4 linked regions of the Drosophila melanogaster genome follow. The gene in region 4 interacts genetically with the main gene of each other region. Each region holds a gene or a part of one and is shown on either strand. Other genes may lie near its edges. The genes, in order: Rala, fz, kay and bsk.

Region 1 (5,034 bases), on a different chromosome or scaffold from region 4:
TGCGTGGCTCAGACTCATTTACAAAGTGTTTTTATTTGGCCGAGCAAGTTTGATCTGCCTTTGCAGATAGCGATACCTAAAAAAAAAAAAAAAAAAAAAACTAAAAACTTATTTCACACCGAGTGGTATATGAAAAATAGGTACATATATGTACGAACAATGCGTGGGAAGTGTTTTCTGAAGCGAGGAGAGCATAATTAAAACCTAGGCATAGTCAGCTGTGATAAAAGATCTTGAAATGCGATGGAGCAACAACAAAAGCCATGGGGAAACACTTGAGAGCCTGGGCATAAAACAAATAAAACCTGTATAAGGCAAATGTGTTGAGAGAACTTTGGAGATGCTGATACGATGATGTAACAAACTAAAGTCAGCTAACAAATATGTGATTGCGCGCGCGACTTTGTCAAGAATCGTTTGTTGGAAGAAATCTCAAGATTTTCAAATGTTAAATGCTTTACAAACGGATATCGTAGATCGTTGGTAACGGGCGATTAATCATTTAATTGGAAAATAACAAAGTCATTACACGTATTTAATGCACAATTCATTGATAATCAGGTATATAAAACGTATTTTGAAGACATTCGGCAGACATATTTGGCCATTATGGACAATTATCATCAAGTGTGTATAACTTTTGCATTAGGCCAACATTATTATTCGTAGAAAACAAACTTTAATGTTGGCCATAATGGACTTGGCCTAGAAGAAACATAGAAATAGAACCCATTTCCGTGATTTGTCTCCCTTGACAAAACTCCATTAGAAGTGAAATTAGAGCAAATCACAGCTTGATGGCTATAAATTAGGCTAAGTTGGCCGACTTGCGCTATCTTCTCCCTTCTGGCCAAGTTAGCAAACATGCCGGAGATGCCGAACAAAAGATGAGAAAACTACATATATACCAAAAACTGTGTCACTGCGAAAGATCGTGAAGATTATGAGTCAGTGTTTTCAACTCTATTGTTAATCTATTCTCGCCTGCCAGAGAATTATATTTGAAAAGGTCAGAGGTGAAACAGCTAACAAATTGCTCGGCTATATCTTGCAAATAATGTAAGATTTTGTTTACACTTTTGATAACGATTAAATTTCTCTGGAATATGAATGGCTCATATTCTACAGACCGATCTGAAATCAAAACTGGTTTCGCATTTTGTAAATAATAAGGCAAACTACACAAAGAGCAGTTATTGATTATTTAAGCACTCAGTTTTAAAGGAACTGAGAACGCATTTTTTTTTGACATACTTCAGCTATTCACTTCCCCCCGTTCGCATTTCGTTCAATTGGTGAGAGCTTTTAACGCCCCTTGGCAACCAAACAAACAAACAAATAATTAGGAAATGTTGGTGAAAGGGGGAAAGGGGTCAACACATACGATTAAGTGAGTCATAGATAAATGAAATTATTCAATATAAAACAAGCTGGCACTCAAATTGATCTTGAACTTGAGCCTAATTAGAAACTGTAAAACCATTTTTCTGTGTCACGTTTTTCAGTTTTCCTCATTTGCTTTAGGCGTGTTGGATAAAAAGATGGAACATTCAGATGCGCATAAAGTTGAAGCGGATTAACTAACGATCACCATCATGATGATCTAACGCTAATGTCAAAATGGTTCTCCGATTAGCAACAGAACCCGAAAATCGGCACGTTCGTGGAGATAATGAGAAATGGGGAAAGGGAAAGATGGTAGCGGAAAACGGGTCACTGTGAGAAAATAACGCCACAGAGCGAATGCCATCAAAAGCGATCTCACAAAATAACAGAGATTAAAACCAGACACCGTTTCTGCGAATTTTCTTGCATTTCAAACGACAATTTTCGAGTGCCAAAGAAGGTTCTTAGAAATTCGAAATATGTGATTAATGAAGAAATGTGCTTAATAAACTTGTCATTTAAAAAAAAACTCAACTGTATTTAACTGTTGGTTAAATAATATTTGTATAATGTTAAATTATTACTAATACTTGGGAAAATTCGGCAAATGTTATTTAGAGCGGCGTAAACGAGATCCCAAAGCGGAATTGGGATAAAGAGAAGTTTAAAAAGCAAAGGGGCGATGGGGGCGTGTGCGTGCTTGCTTGTGTGTGTGTGTTTGTGTGTATGAGTCAACGCGCAAAATGCGGGCGGCGACTGCACCTTGCACACCCCGCAAAAAGAGAGGGCGATAAAGCAGGAGAGAGCGGCAGCGAGAGCGAGAGAGAATAAGGTCAAGCGGGGTGCGGCAACAAATATTTCTGCTGATAGCCGTTGATAAAAGGCTCTCGCCGCCCTTCTCCTTTTCTTTCTCTCTCTCTCTCTATCTCTCGCTCTCCGTGTGCTCATCAGTCCGCTCCTTTCCTTTATTTTGCTGAATGGAGCACACACACAAAAATGCCAAGCGCAATACCTTTTATTTAGTTTACATTTAAATATTCAACAAAGCAAATAGCAGCAGAAAGATTTCACTGCTGAGTTTTTTTTTCACCTCTTGCTTTGCTCACACACATATACACACACACACACACACATCCACTTTCTTCGACGTCGACTGCAACGCCGGCAGCGGCGCCTTTTGGCGGCTTTTACAAATTTTGTTTATGAAACAAAAAACCCCTGTGTATATTCCTTTCTGGGATTTCATCGGTGTATACACCCAGATAAAAAGAAAGAATCTTTCCACACGGCAGACATCATGAAGAACAACATACGAAATATGCGTAATCACTCTATAATGCTTTAGCTGTAAATGCTTTTGCTTCTCTTTCCTCCTTTTTGCGTACTTCGTTTTCTTCCTTCCTTTTTATTGTATTTTGCGCGTCCGCTTTGGCCTGTCGCTTCGTTTGTTGTTGCTTTGCTGTGTTATCTCGCACTTGATGCACTAAACTAAACAAAAAAGTTACAGGCGCGATCGGAGAATCGGCAACTGATGAATTAACAGGATCGGAACGCAACAGTAAATTGGCTGCTTTTCGGTTTCTCTTCTCGTTCGCCGCACACCGCAATTAAAGTTCCGTTGGTTTTGCTTGCTTGAAAGAAACTAGTGTGAAAGTGGAAAAATACCACAGAGGTGCACCAATGTGACCGCTCTGCCATCGATCAATTATACCAAGCACAAGCATCACTAAGAATAACACAAAAATACCAATAAGTTCCGTCTTATATTGAGGTGGGTGTGATCGCTAAGGCTGGTGGGTGTACTCGCTTTGCTGGTTGATGTACTCGATAGGCGAGCGAGCGAGTTGTGCACTCGCTGGCGAGCGGTTTAAGTATCCGATAACTATGGTTGGTGCACACGCTAAGTAACAAGTGACCGCTAAACTGCTACTTTAACAGACACAACTGTGCATGTTAAGCGCACTCATCGTTCCGCCAGATGGCTTCTTTGCACACTCGTTTCGGTATTTTTTTTACACCAACTTACAGTATATTTTTAGGCCATTTCTGCGTGTGTGCGTTCGTGTGAATATTGTGAATATTTTTTTTACTGTGAAAATAGACAAAAATCGGCTGTGGAAAACCGAAGTAAACACATTTGGGAATCATGGCGATTGGCCCTTAACCTTAACCCTTAAGTGTCGTGCCGACAGTGCCACGCCACAAACCCAAATCCCAAAGAAACAAAAGCGAAAGAAAAAAAAAAAAGAACAACAAAAAGCTATAGTTGCAGCCTCTGAAAGTTTAAGACAATCGCCGATCCGATCGGAAGCGGAAGATATATGCTCGCCACACCAAATGGCATGGTAAACACCTCTCGTTCCTCTAAATGTGATGTCGATGTCGGAAAAGCCGTAGAAATCGTACAATTCCTAAAATCGCAAACTTAACCTCGCAGCGTTGTGTGCAAAAACGGAGAGGGGTGGGGGGGAAACAACGGAAAAAAAAGGCAACGCAAAGCAAAGCAAACGAAAAGCGAAGCGTGTGCGAGCGAGAGGCGAGTGAATAGCATTGTTGTTATTGTTGTAGTGACTTTTATTTTATCTCAGCCGGCGATTTAATTCTCTCGCACTCACACATATTCACGCGAATAAAAGTAAATTCAAATAAATACACTCGCAAAAACAAATTGGCACCGGTAACAATTCAAAAAAACTTATGCACATGTGTGTATGTGTGTGTGTGTGTGTGTGTGTGCACTTAGGAGCAGTTGGAGGCGTGGCATGTGTGTATGCCAATTAGTACGGCTAGTTGTTGGGTCGTTCATTTTGCTCCTTCCCGCTATCAGACTCGCTCTTTGCCCTGCATTTTCTCGCCGAGTGCAAAAGGAAAATAACAAAAAACCTCACTCCAATTGGAGATTCGAGATGCCGATCTCTAAAGCGCAGGCAGGGCAACAACAAAAGCGCCAAGAAGAAGACGGAAAAGGGAAAGATTCGAACTAAAACCTATTGGGATTTCATCTTGGAACATTAACCCTTAGGCGGGCTGAAATGTTGTTTAAATCATATTGAGAAATTTCCCAATAAAAGCGTATTGCATTTAAAAGGATGCCAAGTTTTTCAATTATACAAGTGTAGTTTATGAGCGTGTTTTTAATGAAATACCTAAACATGGCCAGGTTTTGGCAAAACCTCTGCTTGCATTCAATTATAGCACACACAATTATTTCACTGAAACTCAATTGATAATACAATACATATTTGGTAATTTCTTGTTTGCTGCTATGAGCAAAACAAAAACGTTGATAAGATGAAATGCCTTTAGATAGGGGCCTTTATATAAGCCACACAGTGCGTGCTAAAAATATGCATGTGGCAAATTAGTGATATTAAATTGTTATTTATTAATTTTTTCAGATGAATTTGTCACTTTATTATTGCCATGGCTCTGACAAATCTTGTCGCACTCGTTGCCGACATTTGCAATCGATCAATATTAAAATATTGAATAACTAAACCAACCACGAGCTAAAAGAAAAATTTCAGAAAAACTTTTGTATCTGAATCGAAAACAAAAAAAAAAACAAATTCCTATCGGCGCTTATAATCACAAAGTAATGGATCAATTTCAAACTTCACTAAATCCGCGGAAACTCGAGCTTCTGGA
Region 2 (4,688 bases), on a different chromosome or scaffold from region 4:
ATATCAATCAATATTTCTCTGGGTTAAAATATAGTTCTTTGTCTATTAATCATAAAGTTTATAATTTTGATTTCGACCAATTTCTTATCTGTACCTGTGGAGCCCTTATAAAACGCTTGTTAATACCACTAGTTTCTAACATGGCAATTATATGTTTATATTGTCGGATCATTATCTATCCAATAAGCATTAATTCACGCTCTCACACTGCGCCATTATCATTAGCAGACAAAGAGACCTATCTAGCTCATAAAGCACGGCAAACAGGGCCAAAACACACAGAGATACAGATACGGATTCATTTGCAGATACTCTTACAGACAGAATCGTGATGTGGGCCAAATGCAATCCAGGCAAACAAGCTGCTAAATTTCGCACGCAGCTCTCAAAAGGCATTTAAGCACGGGGTCTGGGGACTCCGGCTAAACCAAAGATGCTGACAGCCATGATGATATGGGGATGGAAAGAAGGCAGCAAGGCCAAGAGGAACTGATGACACACAGCCAAGGAAAAACGAGACCAATCAAGAAAAAGCGAGTGAGACGAAAGAAGAAAAAACACCGAGAAATCGCAATGGTAAAGTAGCTAAGAGATACACATGTATCCGCCAGATATCCAGACACTGAGGGAAGTGTGAATTATCCTGCCTCAAAGTATTTAATGCGCTTTACTTATGGCAGCCGGCAACAACAGAGTGACGGCTAAAAATAGCAAAAGATAAACACATTGGAAACACATAGACGATGATCATCACTCATCCAAAACCAACAGAAAATAAATCGTGGAAAAATCAGTCTGCTGAGGGGCTTAAGAACCCGAAAAAAAGCTGCTAAAGGAAAAGGGTGGAAAATTAATTAAAGAACGTGAAAATGCAACAGGCTGACCCTCAGTTCAAGTTATTAAACATTCTATGGTTCATGTTACATTTTTTTTTTACTTTTTTTGGGAATACTTTTAAGCAGGCATTACAAATTACACAACTCCAAAAAGAACTGGTTTACCTTTCCTCAACCGAAGCCAAAGAAAAAACGATCTACCTGCCGCTGTTAACCATCTTTTGTGAGCTGCGGGCAGGTAGAATGCGGGCTCGTCGCCCTTCTCTCCTTCTTCTCGTTATTCCTGGCCTGCCAAGGACCTCCTGCTGTTTTCCCTGGTGGTTGGAAATTGTTTTCTCGGCGCAACAGGATTTGCATTTTTCCCTACTTCTACGCTGCTCTACAAATTGAGTCTGGAGTTCAAATGAAGACATAAAAAAATCATTGACCTACATGGGACCAACCCAAATGTGGCATATTAAGTTCCAGAAATAAACGAAATACTCACTAAAAGGCTTGGGGTACTTAAAGCATACATTTAGTCAAGAAAGCGCTAAATACATTCGCTAAACAGATGTTAGTACCCAAAATTTATTTGTGCAACTTCGTTTTTAGTTTGGACATGGTTAAAAGTTTGTGCTCACCCGACGGATGATTATAGAACTTGTTTTTAACTTTTGTCATAATCATAACATGTTTAATCATAAAATTAAATGCATAAATAATAGAAAACTAATGTTTTAAAAGGTATACAGTATGCGCCTATAACCCCCTATTTTTATATGATGCTTATTTTTCGGCGCTTTTTAGTGAATTTATTTTCATTAAAGAACTTACCTTTCCGCCAACTTTTAGTTCGTAGCCCATTCCCAGAGGCGTTTTCAGTTGCACGGGGCACACGAATCCAATGTTTCGGTGCGGACTTTCTACGCCCGTCTGGTGTTTACGGGTAGTGACCTTAGCCACACTCCTTGTGGGCGTGGCCGCCGTGGAGGCCGATGATGTGGTATTCTCCGCCACGCACAAATCCTCGCCTCCATGGACGGGAAATTTGGAGCACTCCAGATTTTCCGGCCAGTTAAAGTTGTAGGTTTTCATTAACTTTTCACATACCCGCGCCGATTCGCACAGAGATCGACAAGGCGGAATGGGTCGCTCCAAAATTGTGCAGACCGGAACGTACAGGGAACAGAGGAACAACTGGAGGTCATCACTGCAGCCGATCTTCACGAGCGGAGCAAACTGATGGACCTCCAGACCCGCCTCCTCCTGCTTGGTATGGCCAATAAGATTTGGCATAATGGTCATGTTATATGGTATATTCTTGCAGATCGATATGGTGATGGGTTCACAGCGATTGTGATGTGGCAGTCCATCTAGTTCGGTCCCAGAACTGGCCATTAATCCCCCGCCGCTGCGATAATACGGACTCGCATCGAGGGGGCTCTGATCGTAGCGCTGGACCCCCTGTATCAGGGTGGGTAAAATAAACAGGATTTGACGCCACATTTTGGAATTTTTCGATATCGCTGTCAAATAACTTTTGGGGCTTTTTCTCGATCTCTTTAAACACTTTAAAACACACACATGTTGCTCATCTACTTGCACTCACTTATACACCATTGAATACTTATTTGATTTATTTTCCCTGTTTAAAAACTTCACTCCCACGAAACACTTAACACCTTTTAAATATTTGCCGGCGGCAAATATTTAGTTTGGCCTTATAAGCAAATAATAAATATTTCTCTCTATTCTCTTATTTGCGTTTGCTTTTGCTCTTTATTTTGTTTAGACTTTTTTTGTTATTTTCCGACTTCAATTTGGTTTAACCGTTTGAATTCGACTTTGCTATTTGTTGTTGGCAAAATATTATTGTGTCAAAATTTAATTTTTGGGGGTCTTTAGGACTTAGTAGCGTTGGCTTTTATCTGGCACAGTACCGGGCTTTACTTTTCTAGCAGCCACATTTTTATCTTGCTGTATGCACATACATAAGTACCGTTAGCTGTATATCATTTATGCCTCCCCCGCTTTTTGAATTTCCTTATTTCTTTCACTTTTTCGAAAACCGCGCAAAAAAATAACTGAACAAACACGGAGTCGAATTCAACTTTTTCGCACGGGACTTACGTTAAAAGACGAAAACGGAGCCGGAGTTCGAGTCGAAATCAATCCGCGAGCACATCCGCATGGTAGGGCATACGCTGACAAACTGAGGAACTGAAAACATGGGGCTCTTTCCAAGCCGCTCTCTCACCGTATCGTTCTCCTGCTCACACGCTGAATATGCGCTCTTTCGCTCGAATGGTGTGAGAGGAGGTTTTATTCAGCTATACGCTTTGTAGTATAGCACTGGGGGCGACCTTGAATTTGACACTCTCGGCGGGAGAGCCAGAGAGCCAAAGAGAGCGAAGTGAAAGACAGGGCTGTTATGCCTTTTGTTTGGATGCTGTCTCGCTCGCACTCTGTCTCCTCTCAACTTCTTGGCCTCCTGTTGATTAGCAGACAGGAAAAAGAAAGCATCAACAAACAACTAAATAAGAGACCATTTAATTAATTAGAATTCAAGATGATTATGCAATCGACAGGGCTAATAGGAAATTAGGGGCGGAAGCTGTGCCCAAATCTAGGTGTTGGGCCCGCTCAATGGAAATTTGAACATCGATATTCACTTTGTAAATACTTAAATATTTATAGATTCCAATTTAAATATTAATTAATTAACCATTTTTTCGATATAATAAATTATAACCAATCTTATGCTTATAAAATGAATAAAAGAAATAAGTGCTGCATTTAAAATGGCTCCAATATAAAAAGACTAGAATCATTTTGCCAGCAAAAAATCCTTGCTGAAATGGGATACATATCCGAAAACGAAATGAGTATACAACATTTATGTCCGAATGTCAAAAAGTTACAGTGCATGTCAGCTAAATATTTTTCAGTTTCTAAAATGTCATATTGCTTAGGTCACCGCACCTTCTTATCTTTTTATATCAATCCATCGATGCCCGTTACACTTCCCACTGTTCTTTGGTAATCTTCAGCTGTTGCAAGTGCCGTTAGAAGACATTTGCCCTCTACTGGAATATACCTATAATAATTGCTTTTCTCCAGCTTTCTTCCTCTATAGAAATACATATTTGCACGCGTTAATTTCCTTGATTTCTGCGACAATTTTTATCGTCGACCATTTCTCTGCGCACTTGCATTTACCATTTATCTTTATCTTTAGTTTTTGCTGTTGTTTGTTTACTTGCTCGCTTTTTTCCGGCAGTTAATTAAGTCATTAACTTGCGTTTAATCTGAGCTTTAGCATGAGTGAAGAGAACTTATCGCGGGAATTTGTCTAATGACCCCGTGGTGGATCGCCAAGGGAGGTGTGGGGGGTTAGGCATCTGCTGCCAGTCAATAAACTTGTTATATTGACAATAATGATGACATTAAAGGAGTCTTGGCAGTCTTTTGTCTTTGTCACCTGTAGAACCCTTTTCTCCGATCAGGCTTTCTCTGTCTCTGTCGCTCTCTACTTAACATATCTCTTTCAGCACATAACTGGCTCTCCCGCACTCTCTTTTGCGTTAAACAAGTGTTACCGGTTTAGCCGGCAAAGTTCATTTTATGCTTTGCTCTTTTTATCCGCTCTCTTCTTGGCTCCATCAACCCCAGTTCTCCCCCACCGCCACCTCCTCATCCTATTCTTCGCTTCTACACTTCGTCGGCTTGTTTAATAAAAAGCGCCAAAGTTGCGCCGCATAAAAAGGCTCTTTTTCTCGGTCTCCCCCTTGCAATCGCTAGATACACTTAACAAAAAATTAAAGTACAATTTTCAGATAAATAAGCAGTGCACTTTTAAAATCACTTATA
Region 3 (7,584 bases), on a different chromosome or scaffold from region 4:
GCTTCTCGAGTAACTGAAACAGAGATCCGCGATTCGTGGCTGCACCGAAAGCAACAGATCCCAAAAAAAACAAAAAAAAATGCAAAATAAGGCAAACCCGAAAATGAATATATGCAGCGTGTGTTGTATGTACATATATACTCGTTTGTGCCATTATCAGACGAGTGGAAGAACACGGCTGCGTTTACCTGCCCTTCAGACTGGTCTTTATGGCAGCAACTAGGTGTTTCTATCTCATAATGTTTTCATAACTTGAATGATCGCATTTTCACATTAGAGCCATTTTCTCAATGAGGTTTACTTCCATAAGTAAGTACTTCAAATCGCTTGAAGAAGTCTGCAGAAATTGAGAATGCAGCCTTTGTTGGTCCACCCTAATCTACCTGATATGTTTACCTGACGACGAGCCAGCCCATTTGCAAGTCATGTGAATCGCTATAACTTCAGAAATAATTCCACAAATCGTCTTTAGGTTTTGTCGGTCTTTTTATTTCTATTTTATTCCATTTCATTTTTAAATTTTGGTGTTTTTCTGCCCTTATAAGTGCATTTATTTGCTATCAATCGGTTTGGTTTTGTATAGATTAAAATTTTGAATATTCTGAGAATTTAGTGTGGAAACTGGCGAGAGTTGCTTTACCTGATCAGCTTTTGTTGAATCGTTTTGGGTTTTTTGATTTAAGGTTGTGGGTAGGTAGATATAGGTATACATAATACATAATTACATATTAAATAATTGCTTTGCTTTTGTCATTTCTTATAAATGGTATTTGAAAATAGCGCAATGTTGCGTTTAGTAAAAATATATTTTGGTTTCTACTGCAGCTTACAGAGTACACAATAAGTATATTTATCTCATTTCACATTTGCTTTTGCTCAATATAAAACTCGCTTCAACGCCATTATTGTTTAGCTTTAAATGTACATGCATACATATATGTATGTAGATCTCTATATATAAAGGTTTGCATTTCTTAATTCTCTCTCAAGGCATTGTATTTAGTTTGTATGCTGAATATATATTCACTTTGTTTTGTTTTATAGTATATTTACGCTTTACGATTCGTTTAAATGTACAATTTTAAAACCGGCTTAGTTCCTTTCATTAGACGCTCCTGTTTGCTTTCTACTTTGTTTCATCCTCGCATCTTTTGTATTCGTTTTATAATAAATATCACAACGCATCCTGCAAATCTACACGCCCTATTATCATCATTATCCTTATCATTCTCATCATGCATCGTCGGTCGTTCGCGTTCGCGTTCGCGTTCTTATATTTTTTGAAAATATACAACGCGCAATGAAGAGGTTTGAAAATTGCACAAATTACAAGTACATAACATATGTACATAGCTCCTCGGCGTATGTAAAAGACATAGCGAAATCATAAATTAACCATAATAAAGATAATAATACAAAAACATTAGAGTTAACGAAACAACACATTCGTCACGTTTACGCATATTACAGCATATTACAAAAATGAAAACATCTCCTACAACTAGAAAAGTGCTTCGCGGTTTCCTTCCGTTGTTTGCCTGCCAACTATATAAAACTTAACTTAATCCTGACTCGGCCCCCATCCCCGTCCCAGATCCGGTCCGGTTATAAGCTGACCAGCTTGGACGGCTCGGCGGTGGGCGTGGGCAGCTCCAGCGGGTGCTTGTTCGTGGAGGAGCTGTTCGGTACGAGGGGTCCGGAGACGGGCGTTAGCCCAGTGCCGCCGTCCATCAGGGAGTCGAAGTTGAAGGTGCCGGTCGAGGGCGTCTGGATGGGCACGCCCTGGATCTGCGTGGGCCCACCCGCCTTGTTGTTGGCCATGGTGAGGTGCATCTGGCCCAGAGGACGCTGGAAAGCCAGCGTATTGGGCCGCTCCTTAGGCACCTTGTTATGCGCATTCAGCGTGGGAGAGTTCATGTTGTTGCCGATGCTGTTGATGTTGTTGATGCTGCTGCCGTTGGAGGTCACCGGGAAGGCGCTGCCGAATCCGCCGGGCGCCGTGCTCGTGATCGGCGTCTGCAGAGATCCCGACGAGGCGCCGGTGGGCGTTAATATCGTGGACAAGTGAACGTGCGGCATCGTGGACATGGGCGGCAAGGTGATGCGCTTGCTGGGCGGCGGACCGTCCTGGTCCAGGCTGGATCCTGAGTCGATGGCGCCATCGAGTGGCTCGTCCTTGATGTGCATCAGCAGGCTATCGATGTTCGCCGCCGGCTTGAGATCCAAGGGTGAATTGCTCCTCCCGGTGGAGTTCAGCGTGGCGTCCATGCCCGTAATCGTGCCGTTGCTGCTGTCGTTGCTGTTGTGGTTGTGATGGCTGCTCGCGCCGCTGCCGCTGCTCCCTGCACTCAGGAGTCCGGCCGGGGCAATCAGACCGTTGCAGGTGACCACGCTCAGCATGTCGGAGCGAATCTTTTGGCAGGTGGCCCGGTGGGTGGCCAGAAGGTACTCCAGCTGATTCTTGCTATTCGTCAGCACCTCGATCTCCTTGCGCATGCTCTCGCCCCGCTTCTCCAGCTGCTCCACCTCCTCGGTGAGCTCGTTGGTCTGGTCCACGCGCCTCTTGCGGCAACGGGCCGCCGCCTGTTTGTTCCGCTCCCGGCGCACGGCCCGCTTCTGCTCCTCCTCCGGGGTCATGTTCGTCGACCGGTTGGGGCGTCTGCCACCGCCACGACGAGCCGGCGTATTTGAGGTATTCGCGTTGCTGCTGCCCACCGACGCCGATCCGCGGCTAGAGCTCACGGCGGCCAGGACATTGGAGAAGTTGTTGACACCGCCGCCGTTCACGCTGCCCGCCATGATGTGGCCAGCTTGGTACGAGGTGCTGTCCGTATGGGCACTTGCTGCAGGCGTATGAAATAAAAGGGAGTTAGTAGACATTCGGAGCAATTCGTGCCAGCTTCACTTACAAGTATCGGTCGTGTCCTGCTCCTCGTTCATCTGCGTATCGTTGTACGAAGCGTTGGAGTCCTCGGACTCGCTGCCCTGCCCCAGGCTCAAATCGAATGTCTGCTGAAGTGGGAGCGACGAAACACCGGTGGGAATACCCATGCCCAGGACATCAATGGCATTGGGTAGCACCTTTGGCACTGCAAATCCCGCGCAACCAGCCACACGATCGGTCTGCGTGTCCGAGAGCAAGTGGCCCAGTGTGTCCTCGATGTTGCGCGTGGTGGTCGGCGTCAACGTGGGCGTCGTCAGTGTGAGAACACTCTGGCCGGTCTCAAAGTTGCCGAGCTGCAAGAGCAGAAAAGGTGCATGATTAGTAAAGACATCTATGAGTGCAAGTATCTGAGAAGATGGATTACTATTAACGCTCATTAAAGCTCATGACAAGCACGAAACCCTCTACAATGCCATATCAGTATACATATATCACGCATACGCAGTGTTGCCCGCGAATAGCTTAAGGATGTTTGGGAATTTATTCTTATCACATGAGTAATTTGGGTCGAGTTCAGATATCAGTCAACATCAAAAGCTATTGCTAAGTCTGTAAGACCTCTTGCTTATCCGTACATTTCTAGCGAATTAGCGAACGTGTTTTTGGCCAAACAAAAAACGAAAAAAAAAGAGGCGAAGAGAGATGAAGAAACCGAAAGAGAGGCGGCCAATCCATCACTTTGTTTATATTTGCCCACCCCTTTGTTGTTCCGCATTTGTTCTATTTTCGGCGATGATTAAGTACGCATGCCGCTTGCCAATTGTTTCGCGCCCAAATCTATCCCAATCTCGACCAGAATCGGAGGCATCATCATCGATCGATCTGTGGTACCTGCTGTAGGAAAAGCTCGTTGGCGAGGAAAGTGGCTATCTCACTGGCGTCCATTGCAAAGTTGTCGCTGTGGTTGTTGTCGCTGCCAGCGGCAGCAGATGTTGCAGTTGTGCTCGTTGTTGCAGCTGCAGTGGTGTTGCATGTTGCAGCTGCAGTGGTGTTGCATGTTGTGGCCGTCAAGGCGAGTTGCGCCTGCCCAGGGGTTTCGGGATTCCAGCCGGAGGCGGAGGACTGGGACTCGGAAGGGTAATGTTGCTGCTGCTGCTGCTGGTAGTAATTAATGGGCATGCAATTGTTGTTGAACTCCAGTTGCTGCTGCTGCTGCTGTTGCTGGTTGAAAAAATTCTGCATTTGGCAGACGGCGGCCATGGCAGCCGCATTGTTGCTGTTGTGACTGCCGCTGCTGGCAGCGTAGGCGCTGCTAGCAACATGGCCATAATTGTTGCTGCTGCTGCGCAGTGGAAAAGCATTGTGGGCAACCGATTGCGATTGCTGGTAGGCTGGCTGCGTGGGCAGTTGCCGTTGCTGATGACGCAACTGTTGCTGCGGCGCTTGCTGTTGCTGCTGCTGCTGCTGCATATGTTGCTGCTGTTGCTGCAGATGATGCTGCTGCTGCTGCTGCTGCTGCTGAGCAAAATGCAGCGATTGGTGGTAGTAGGGATGGTAGCACGCATTGTGCGTCCTACCGTTGAGATTTTTCATCATTTGTTCGCTGCTTATCGATCTAAACCTAAATATTAAGTATACGCACTCGCGTTGCGTATACGCACAGTTGGGCGGCTGACTAGTATTCGTTGGGGTTCTTAGCCTAGCTAAGCTAACACAACAATTGGGACAACAATGATATATGCGAATTGTATTCAAAATCAACAAAAACAATTCAACAATCTAAGAATCTAGTTACTAGCTAAACTAGAGTATATGTACAAATTGGGACTCTGTTCCCAAAGTTTCCTAACAATGTGCTGATGATCCTTTCTTGTCTTTATAATTCCGTTCGTTTGGATGCTCCTATGCTGTTTGTTGTCGCAGTGTTGTTCTAGTTGCTTAGAAATTCGTTCGTTTTTGGCTTTGTTTCATAGCTTCTTTTTTTTGTGTGTATTGTGTATTTCGTTTGCTTTCTGCGTTGGCTCTTTCCTAATAAAGAAAAAGGGTTCGTTTGATTTGACTTCTTGCTAGCTGCGAGCCGTGAGCAGATTTCGTATATGTTCGTTGTTCGATTGCTCAGTTCTTGAAGTTTTGGCTCTCCGGCGGTCTCAGCCGCTTAACGATAAGCGTTTGCTGATTTCGCAAAGGATTGAAACGCACATTCCGCTCGGCGAAAGCGCTCATAATCGACGCAGTTTATCGTAAGTGTGCGAGGCCCAAAATCCAGCGACACGTGTCCAGTTTAAGTCGCTCCACTGTGTGAGCCGCAAATTCGATTATTATATAATTATAGAGATTTACACGGACATGGAGCCTTGAGCTAGTTCAATTAATGCTGCATTTGTTGTATTCAGAAATTCCTCGGCCATGGGCAACGCCTCTCAACACAGCGAGTGTTATGCCTCCCTTTGCGCTTTTATTTCTGGGTTTGGCTATATTTACATATATATATATATATATATGTATATTCGTATGGCATATATATTTCGATCCACGCGCTTGCAGCCGAGAAATGTGCGTTGTTTTGCGTCTATATGTATATATGTACATATAGCCGACTGATTCGTTTTTTTTGCTCCTGATTCGTTTTGGCAATGCACGCGCACCGAAAACCCAACGACAATTGCAGTTTTCCAAATTTATTTTCGTTTCGTTGTTTGAGTTTCGCGTTTCGATTCGATGCGATGCGATTCGAGGAAAAGCGCGCGCGCGATCGCTTTTAATTGTTAGATATTTTCTAAACTTCGATGGTTCGTTGTTCGTTTGCGACTGAATCGCATCAGAATCTCCGGCGAGCGAAATTGGCAACGATCGCGATCGAGAGATCGCCGCAGATGTATGCATATATATGTATATATATACATATCATATATATATTTATATATCTTGAGAACTACTAGAGAACCCGAACCCGCATCCGAATCCGGAGAGCTGTCTGCTGTCTGCTGGGCGTGTGTTGTGCGAGCTGGCTGCTCAAATTAGAAGACAGCCGCTGGGAAATCAAATGATCCTAAACGCTGGCTGCTCTTAATTGAGCGGCTGCCCACACGACGACCACGCTCGCTTTTGCCGCATTCAAAGCGAAATATGTACATTTAGTTAGCTATAGTAGAATGTGGTGGTGGCTTATGTACATATGTATATGCTTCTGCTTCCGATTTGCCGAACTTGCCAGAGGCTCATTCTTCGCTTCCACGGAAAAGCCTTTCAGTTGCCCATAAATCAGGCCCAATGTTTTGGCCAAAAGCGATGATTCCGAGTAAACATAAGCTACATACATATATACACATGTCCGATTCGACAGATGTCCCACGAACAGGTGTGTGCGTGTGGCACATCCACATTAACTATGTTTTCAGTTCAGTTCAGTTCAGTTCAGACCCCCTGTCTCGCCAAGAGCGTTTATTTCCGTCGCCAGCAAGTTGGCCAATACGCTAATTGCTGGCTTTTGTTGTGGGCTAAGAGCAACACACACACACACACATACCAGTTGCACTGGGGCTACATTTTTGAAGTAGTATGCCTTCTTTTCTCTCCGTGCAGCGAGTTCGAGCGGCTTGTGTGCTTATTTATTTGACGATCTTATCGCAGCCGTGTTTCCCAATCCCAAAGGCCGTTCCCTTATTGACAGCAAACAATCGATTTTATTCTTTGTGATATATTTACTTTTTAATTTCGTATGCGAAATTTACTTTCAACTCGGCCGCCTTGGCTGTTTGGCCACCTTTGTTTGGCTGGCTACTTTCGTTTTAACCCACTTTTTTGCCATTTGAACTTGTCCCTCGCGAACATGAACCGCATTTAGCCGATGATGAATCAGTCAATTTGGAAAATGTACGTATGCAAAACAAGTGATGATATAGAATGCTGGCAATCAAGCGCGGCGAATTGAATTGTCTAAATTGCTTGCCAGCCAGCTCGGATGGCGATCTCGATTCTCCTATCGGAACGTTGGACAGAGTCATATCTCCGGACACCGAGTTCACATCTGGGGGTCAATTATGAACCAAATGAAACGAGCAGCGAACATCGAACAGCCAGCAGTGGAGAGTAAAAAAAAAAAAGAAAAAGTAAAACACTGACGTAGCGAAAAGCAACAAATTGCTGACTAATACACGCGACTGCTGCAAATTTGATTTGCGGGCGGTTCAAGCCAAACCAAAGTGGCCCCTAAATAAATGTATGGTGACTGCAACTTACAAAAATATTTCAAAACCTAAAAATTGCCACTTCCCAAAGGAATTCCCTGAAAACTCAAACTTATCAATTGCCTGTAAATCCGCGCTATCATTTTGATTAGACCATCAACTTTGACCTTGGCTCTAATTAGTTCAAAAACACATTCACATGTTTTTAAACGCTGGGCAGAGGAGGAAGGTGAAGATGCAACAAGTTGAGTGGCTAAGAAATTCTCGGGCCCGAGACTTTGCCTTCTGCTTTCAGCTGACGTGTTGGGCTATTTTTAGACCAATTTTAGCCTGACAATGACGTAATGACGGCACAAAAAAAAACAAAAAACTTGGCATCATCGAAGGCAAAAACAAGCGTTGGCAAAAACGAAAACAGCGACGACAATTTGCATTGTTTATATCAAAGCGGCTAATAAGCGTTTGGAGCGGCCGAAACAAAGGCTAACAGAGCGCGTTAGCATAGGCCGCCGT
Region 4 (5,400 bases):
CCGCGCGATACATTTAGCATTTGTATTATTATTGTTCACCAACGCAATTCTTTATTATCAAACCCACATTTATTCGCGATGACACTTTGCTGTTATCGTTATCGCAGCATAGGAATAACAGTACGAAGTTGCCATCCCGATCTCTACACCGGTGAGAGTTGCCAGCCCGATTTACACGCCGGCTTATTCGATACTAATTGAGTTATCGAATGACCGTTTGTTTCGTTTAAATTTAGTATAACAGTTTTTTATTTAATCATCATTTTAAATTTTTTGTATTTTAGAAATGTTTTTATCGGTAACTAAATTATCTACTTTCCATATTCTTGTATGAAACAAAATTTTAAAAGTATGTATCGACTTTATATACCGAAATAATTTATATGGTTAAACTTTTCCATTTAAATTTTATGAATTTATACAAAGATTAAAATGTAATTAGCTCCTGAAATCAGGACAATGAAATGATTAAACTGGTATTTTAACGATTTAACTTAAGAAAGCGGGCTCAAAAAACAAGGATGAGTAAGAAATTACAAAGTTTCGCATATTGATTTTATTTTTTAATGGTTACTATATTTTTAAATACAATTTGAATATTTTATTTGTTGTAATAATTTAACAATACACGCCGTATTGTTGGTAAGCTTTAGTTTTCTTGTGACTGACTAAGGAGGAAAAAGTCGTTCTCTACCGCGTTCTATTATTTGTATTGTGTGCTTCGTAGTCCATGACTTCCTCATAGATTAGCTCCTTCCACTGCTCCACAGTGTGTTCCCTTTCGTCCACGCTGTGATCATATGGCTCCGGAGCGGGCTGCAAGAGATGCATGCAATTAAGCGATTAAAAACATTCAACATTCCTAGAAATCCAGTTTATGCCAGAATCACTTACAGCATCCACTTCCTCAGCATCATACCACACGTTGATATATTCATGCTTCAAAGCCTCGTCCACAGATATCCGCTGCTCTGGATCAATGACTAGCATTTTACTAAGAAGATTTCTAGCGTCAGAAGCCTTCCGGCGGCTATTCTGATTATTATCATTTGGAAACAAGCCATCGGGGAAAAGTCTATCAAATGAGTATCCAGTGTATCTAGGACGATTTTCCACATAGTTTCGGACGGTTGGCTGTAACCGTTGCATAAACGAGGGTGATGGTGTACCTAATTGCTCTGAAAAAACGTAAAAGTTGACAATCATAACGAGAATCAAGTTATTTAAGCAGCAACATACCAATAATTTTATTCCACTGATCTATATGATCCGTTCCAGGAAACAGCACACCGCCCCGTATCATTTCGCCCATAATGCAACCGACGGACCATATGTCCACGTTCTCTGTGTATCCCATGCCCAAAATGACCTCTGGAGCCCTGTAATATCGGGTGACCACATAGGGAGTCATCATAAAGGTAGTTCCTGCAGTACGTGCCAGACCGAAATCCAAAATTTTTAGAGTGCAGTCGGCCTTTACAACTATATTGGATGGCTTTAAGTCCTGCAAATGAAGTATTTCATATATTTCATACTCATTTTAAAGATGTATTCATACTGTACGTACTCTGTGAATAATTCCTGCTGAGTGTAAATGTTTTATTCCGCACAACATTTGATAAAGCAAATAGGACATTCTGTCGTGATCCAAGTCCATTTGGATGACCTGGCAGAGATTAGCGTCCATCAGCTCCATGACCAGGTAGACATCCTGAAACTCTTCCAAGTTCCTTTGCGGCGTAAAAGCATTAAGTAAGCCAATTATCTACGGATTAAATACCTATGTTTAGTAGAAATTTGTTAAAGTTAAAGGTGCAAGTTTCATACGTTTTTATGGTTAACAAGCTTCATTAGCTTGAATTCCCTATATGCTCGCTTGGCATGGGTTACATTTTGGAATGGTCGAGATAGTTTCTTAATCGCCACATTTTGCTGGGTGATAGTATCGTAAGCGGCGCTGAAATGCATTAAATTTGTTATTTTTTTTTTTCATATTCCAGCTAATCCCATCTAATCTAATCTAATATACAATGGAGCGTTACAAATATGACTTCATACTCATGCGAAATATCTTAATTGTTTAAGCCAAAAAATTGTTAAATGTATTATATGTAATAACATATTGATAACCACTTACCATACTATTCCTTGGGCACCTGATCCTATGGGCCGTAGATTAATGTACCGACTGTGGATGGTGAAGTTGGTGTCCCCCACCTCGACGGTGTAGTGTTGGTGCTGAGCTGTCGTCATTGTTCACTGATTTTATTTATTACTAGTTGAGAGCAAGGAGCATATCGGCCTTTTCAAGAGGGTAAATAAGATAAATCAATACGGTTTTACAGTGTGATTCTGTTTTATATAAGGAGCAAAGACGTCCGTATGTATGGCTCCATTCTGAATGGGTGGAGGCAGTTTTCAGACAACTTCGTCTGGAATTAGGGGGTAGGAAAACATTAACTTTGCCTGGCCTTATTTCGGCAGAATGTTATGGCCATTAAGTGGGTCTCTGTTGTCGCGAGGGGTGAAATTTACTGGCTAGTGTGTGGCGAGTTTGTTGCCAAACCACGAGCAAAAAATATCGAGTTCCTTCAAAAAGATACAATTGCATAACGCAGTCACTTATTTGAGCCGACTTCGAATGCCGAACCCCCTTTTCTATTGATAAGCATTTAAATGTTTGCCGAACACATGTCGAATATGGTTGGAAAAACACCCAACAGAAATAACCGAGCGTTTCGTTCTTTGAGCAAAGTGTTTAGCGGCACGCACAGGAAAAAAAACCGATTTAAAATCGATATGTCCGGCTTAAACATAAAAGTACGGAATGTTGGACCACAGCGATGTACATAGCGTTCATGTGTATGCATGCCGTTGCCTGTGTAAATATGTACATACACACGATTTGTATGCGGATGAAAACTGTAAACTTCTACTGGTATACATATGTGTAAGATGTAAGCCACATACATACATATGCACATACAGCCACACAAATGTGGGTCGATAATTTAGTAACTTTTCAAACTATCTCTCAGATAAAAGATATTCCCCGTATTCGTACATCGAAAAAGCGCTCGTTTGCGCTGCAGATAATAAAGCGGTCTACGCTTCGGGTAGTGTCGATATGTAAACGTTAGACATTTGCGCATACATAGGTACATACACTCTTTGGGCAGTTGACATTTTATGTTAAATATCAATAATTTTTTTCATAACCGGCACAACTATAATTGCTTTCAATCGATTATGGCACGTTTTGCAGGAGTGTTTCGGTGATTCGATATTTGATGTGAATGGAACGTAATAGAATATTTATTTACCATTTAACGAAGAAGTACAGAATTTCTTGTGAAAATATAAAATCGATTTTTTTTCTATTTTATTCTACACACTGGGCACTCAAAGTGGCGAGCATTTTAAACTATGTTAATGTTATTGAAATTTAAGAATCAACTATCTGCGGCACTTTCGCATGAGAATAATTGTACATGGATACAATACAATATACGAAAATCTATTGGAATATTCGATCACAACAAAGTTACTTAAATCGATGTGACCAGATTGCAGTAGGACCAAAACCAGAAACGGCTAAAGTCAGCCAATCGACTTTTGATTAAAATTAGGTTTAATTAGGGGTTTAAAACCTAATAAGTGTTAATAACTTACAAATAAACATATACAAATGCAATTTATTTAATAAAGACCAAAAACTAAGTTGGCGCAGTGTTTCATTTCACCGTTCCGGTCATTAGATATTCCTTTGCTCGACTTATCGAGTATACATCGAATGACGAATGAGAAATACTGTCATCACTAACAATAAATAAAAACAAAAGAGTTGAAATACACAGCGATATGAGGACGGTTGGTTTTTGGCCACTGATGAATCACATAAGCTGATAAGTGCTAATTTTAAAATCTTGTCCTTGCAGTCATCACCAGCACTTAAATACCTATTGGAGAAGGATGTTCAGGTGTCGAAGCATTTTGTAGTAGCCGTCTCCAATCTGTCGTTCTTCAAATCCCTGCGGATCCACAGCAGATTTCTGGAGATATCATGCGATGGAATCGCCTGGTTTGTCTCATGGATCGCCTTCATCTGGTTGCTCAGCTCGAAGAGCTTGTATCAAATGCAAGTCAATATGCTCTTCGGCCTGATACTCGACGTAGTGATCGTGGCCGTGCTGAAGGCGCTTGTTCGTCGCAGGCGACCGGTGGCCAGCAAGGATATGCTGACCATTGGACCCGATAAGTTCAGCTTTCCCTCAGGTCATGCCTCCCGGGCGTTCTTTGTGCTGCTGTTCTTCGCCAAGCTGTATCCGCTTCACATCATATTCCTAATGCCGGTCACAGCTTGGGCTGTAAGCGTGGCCATCTCACGGCTCATCCTCCAGCGTCATTATATTTTGGATATCTGCGCCGGTGCTGCCATCGGAGTGTTGGAGGCACTAATCGTGGGACTTCTGTGGATCAGCGAGGAAACTGCATTTAGCATTGTGGGCTTTGTTACCGAGGAAACTGTCGACAGCATGGAGTAACGATAAGTTACGATTGGAACACCGAAAGCAATAGATAATCTCTAGATCATTATGATAAATGCTTTAACCAAATACATTGTTAATGTTAAATTCATATTATTGTGTATTTCGCATAATTTTTCTACCCTTATTTCACTGTGAAAAGGGAAAGTGTACTTTAAATGAGACTAAAGTCGTTATACAACCATCTTTAATAAAATAAATAAAGCTTTTGAAGATATTTGGATTATTAATTATAAGAAATTATAGTGTAATTCCTTTGTTCCGAGTCATAGCACTCCTAAATATATCGATTCATCGATAAGGAGTCAACAACCCCAACGACTTCGTCGGGGGATGAAATGTTGTATGCCACATAAAGTTTTCGCGAAAGGATAAATACAAAAATATTTTCGGAATCGTTGGCATGTCAATTGGACTATTGAAATAACAAAAGGCTTCATATTGTTAGCTAGATTAAGCAATATGAACAAATACTCGGCATTTATAGTCTGCATTTCGCTCGTGCTTTTATTTACAAAAAAGGATGTGGGGAGCCATAATGTGGACTCAAGAATATATGGGTAGGTATTTTCACTGAAAGTTTTCCCAAGTTTCCGCAACAATAATTAGCGAAATACTTTTGTGTGGAATTAATAATTAATGAAATCATGAGCTTAACATGTTTTATATATTTTTAAATTACTAAACATAGTGTATACTCGAATGCAGAAATCTTTAGACGCCCTTATCCTTTTAATCCTTAAAAATGCAATATATTATTTGCCCTGCAGTTTCCAGCAATCATCAGGTATTTGCCATATTTACAATGGCACCATTTGTCGCGATGTCTTGAGCAATGCCCATGTTTTCGTAT

Evidence for each region.
Region 1: of bsk (region 4) and Rala, changing one suppresses a phenotype caused by changing the other (phenotypic suppression), as found in Drosophila melanogaster (2 studies listed by BioGRID).
Region 2: of bsk (region 4) and fz, changing one suppresses a phenotype caused by changing the other (phenotypic suppression), as found in Drosophila melanogaster (one study listed by BioGRID).
Region 3: of bsk (region 4) and kay, changing one enhances a phenotype caused by changing the other (phenotypic enhancement), as found in Drosophila melanogaster (2 studies listed by BioGRID).

What each region holds. Positions count from the first base shown.
Region 1 is NC_004354.4:3,716,592-3,721,625, forward strand, and holds the start of Rala (Ras-like protein A), read right to left. Parts: upstream 3,045-5,034; 5' UTR 2,772-3,044; intron 77-2,771; exon of another isoform or gene 1-76.
Region 2 is NT_037436.4:14,272,691-14,277,378, reverse strand, and holds the start of fz (frizzled), read right to left. Parts: upstream 3,037-4,688; 5' UTR 2,325-3,036; coding exon 1,653-2,324; intron 1-1,652. UniProt on the Drosophila melanogaster protein: Receptor for Wnt proteins.
Region 3 is NT_033777.3:29,787,046-29,794,629, reverse strand, and holds kay (kayak), read right to left. Parts: upstream 5,695-7,584; 5' UTR 4,478-5,694; coding exon 3,776-4,477; intron 3,238-3,775; coding exon 2,910-3,237; intron 2,844-2,909; coding exon 1,606-2,843; 3' UTR 517-1,605; downstream 1-516. UniProt on the Drosophila melanogaster protein: Developmentally regulated transcription factor AP-1 binds and recognizes the enhancer DNA sequence: 5'-TGA[CG]TCA-3'. May play a role in the function or determination of a particular subset of cells in the developing embryo.
Region 4 is NT_033779.5:10,246,958-10,252,357, forward strand, and holds bsk (basket), read right to left. Parts: upstream 3,545-5,400; 5' UTR 3,324-3,544; intron 2,786-3,323; exon of another isoform or gene 2,303-2,785; 5' UTR 2,254-2,302; coding exon 2,138-2,253; intron 1,958-2,137; coding exon 1,828-1,957; intron 1,766-1,827; coding exon 1,568-1,765; intron 1,505-1,567; coding exon 1,240-1,504; intron 1,179-1,239; coding exon 895-1,178; intron 817-894; coding exon 691-816; 3' UTR 545-690; downstream 1-544. Other genes in the region: CG31717 (uncharacterized protein), read left to right, coding at 3,862-3,870, 3,939-4,544; Ror, read left to right, coding at 5,010-5,107, 5,318-5,400. UniProt on the Drosophila melanogaster protein: Mitogen-activated protein kinase and key component of the c-Jun N-terminal kinase (JNK) pathway which phosphorylate and activate transcription factors involved in a wide range of biological processes including response to various stresses, cellular proliferation, differentiation and migration, and regulation of cell shape.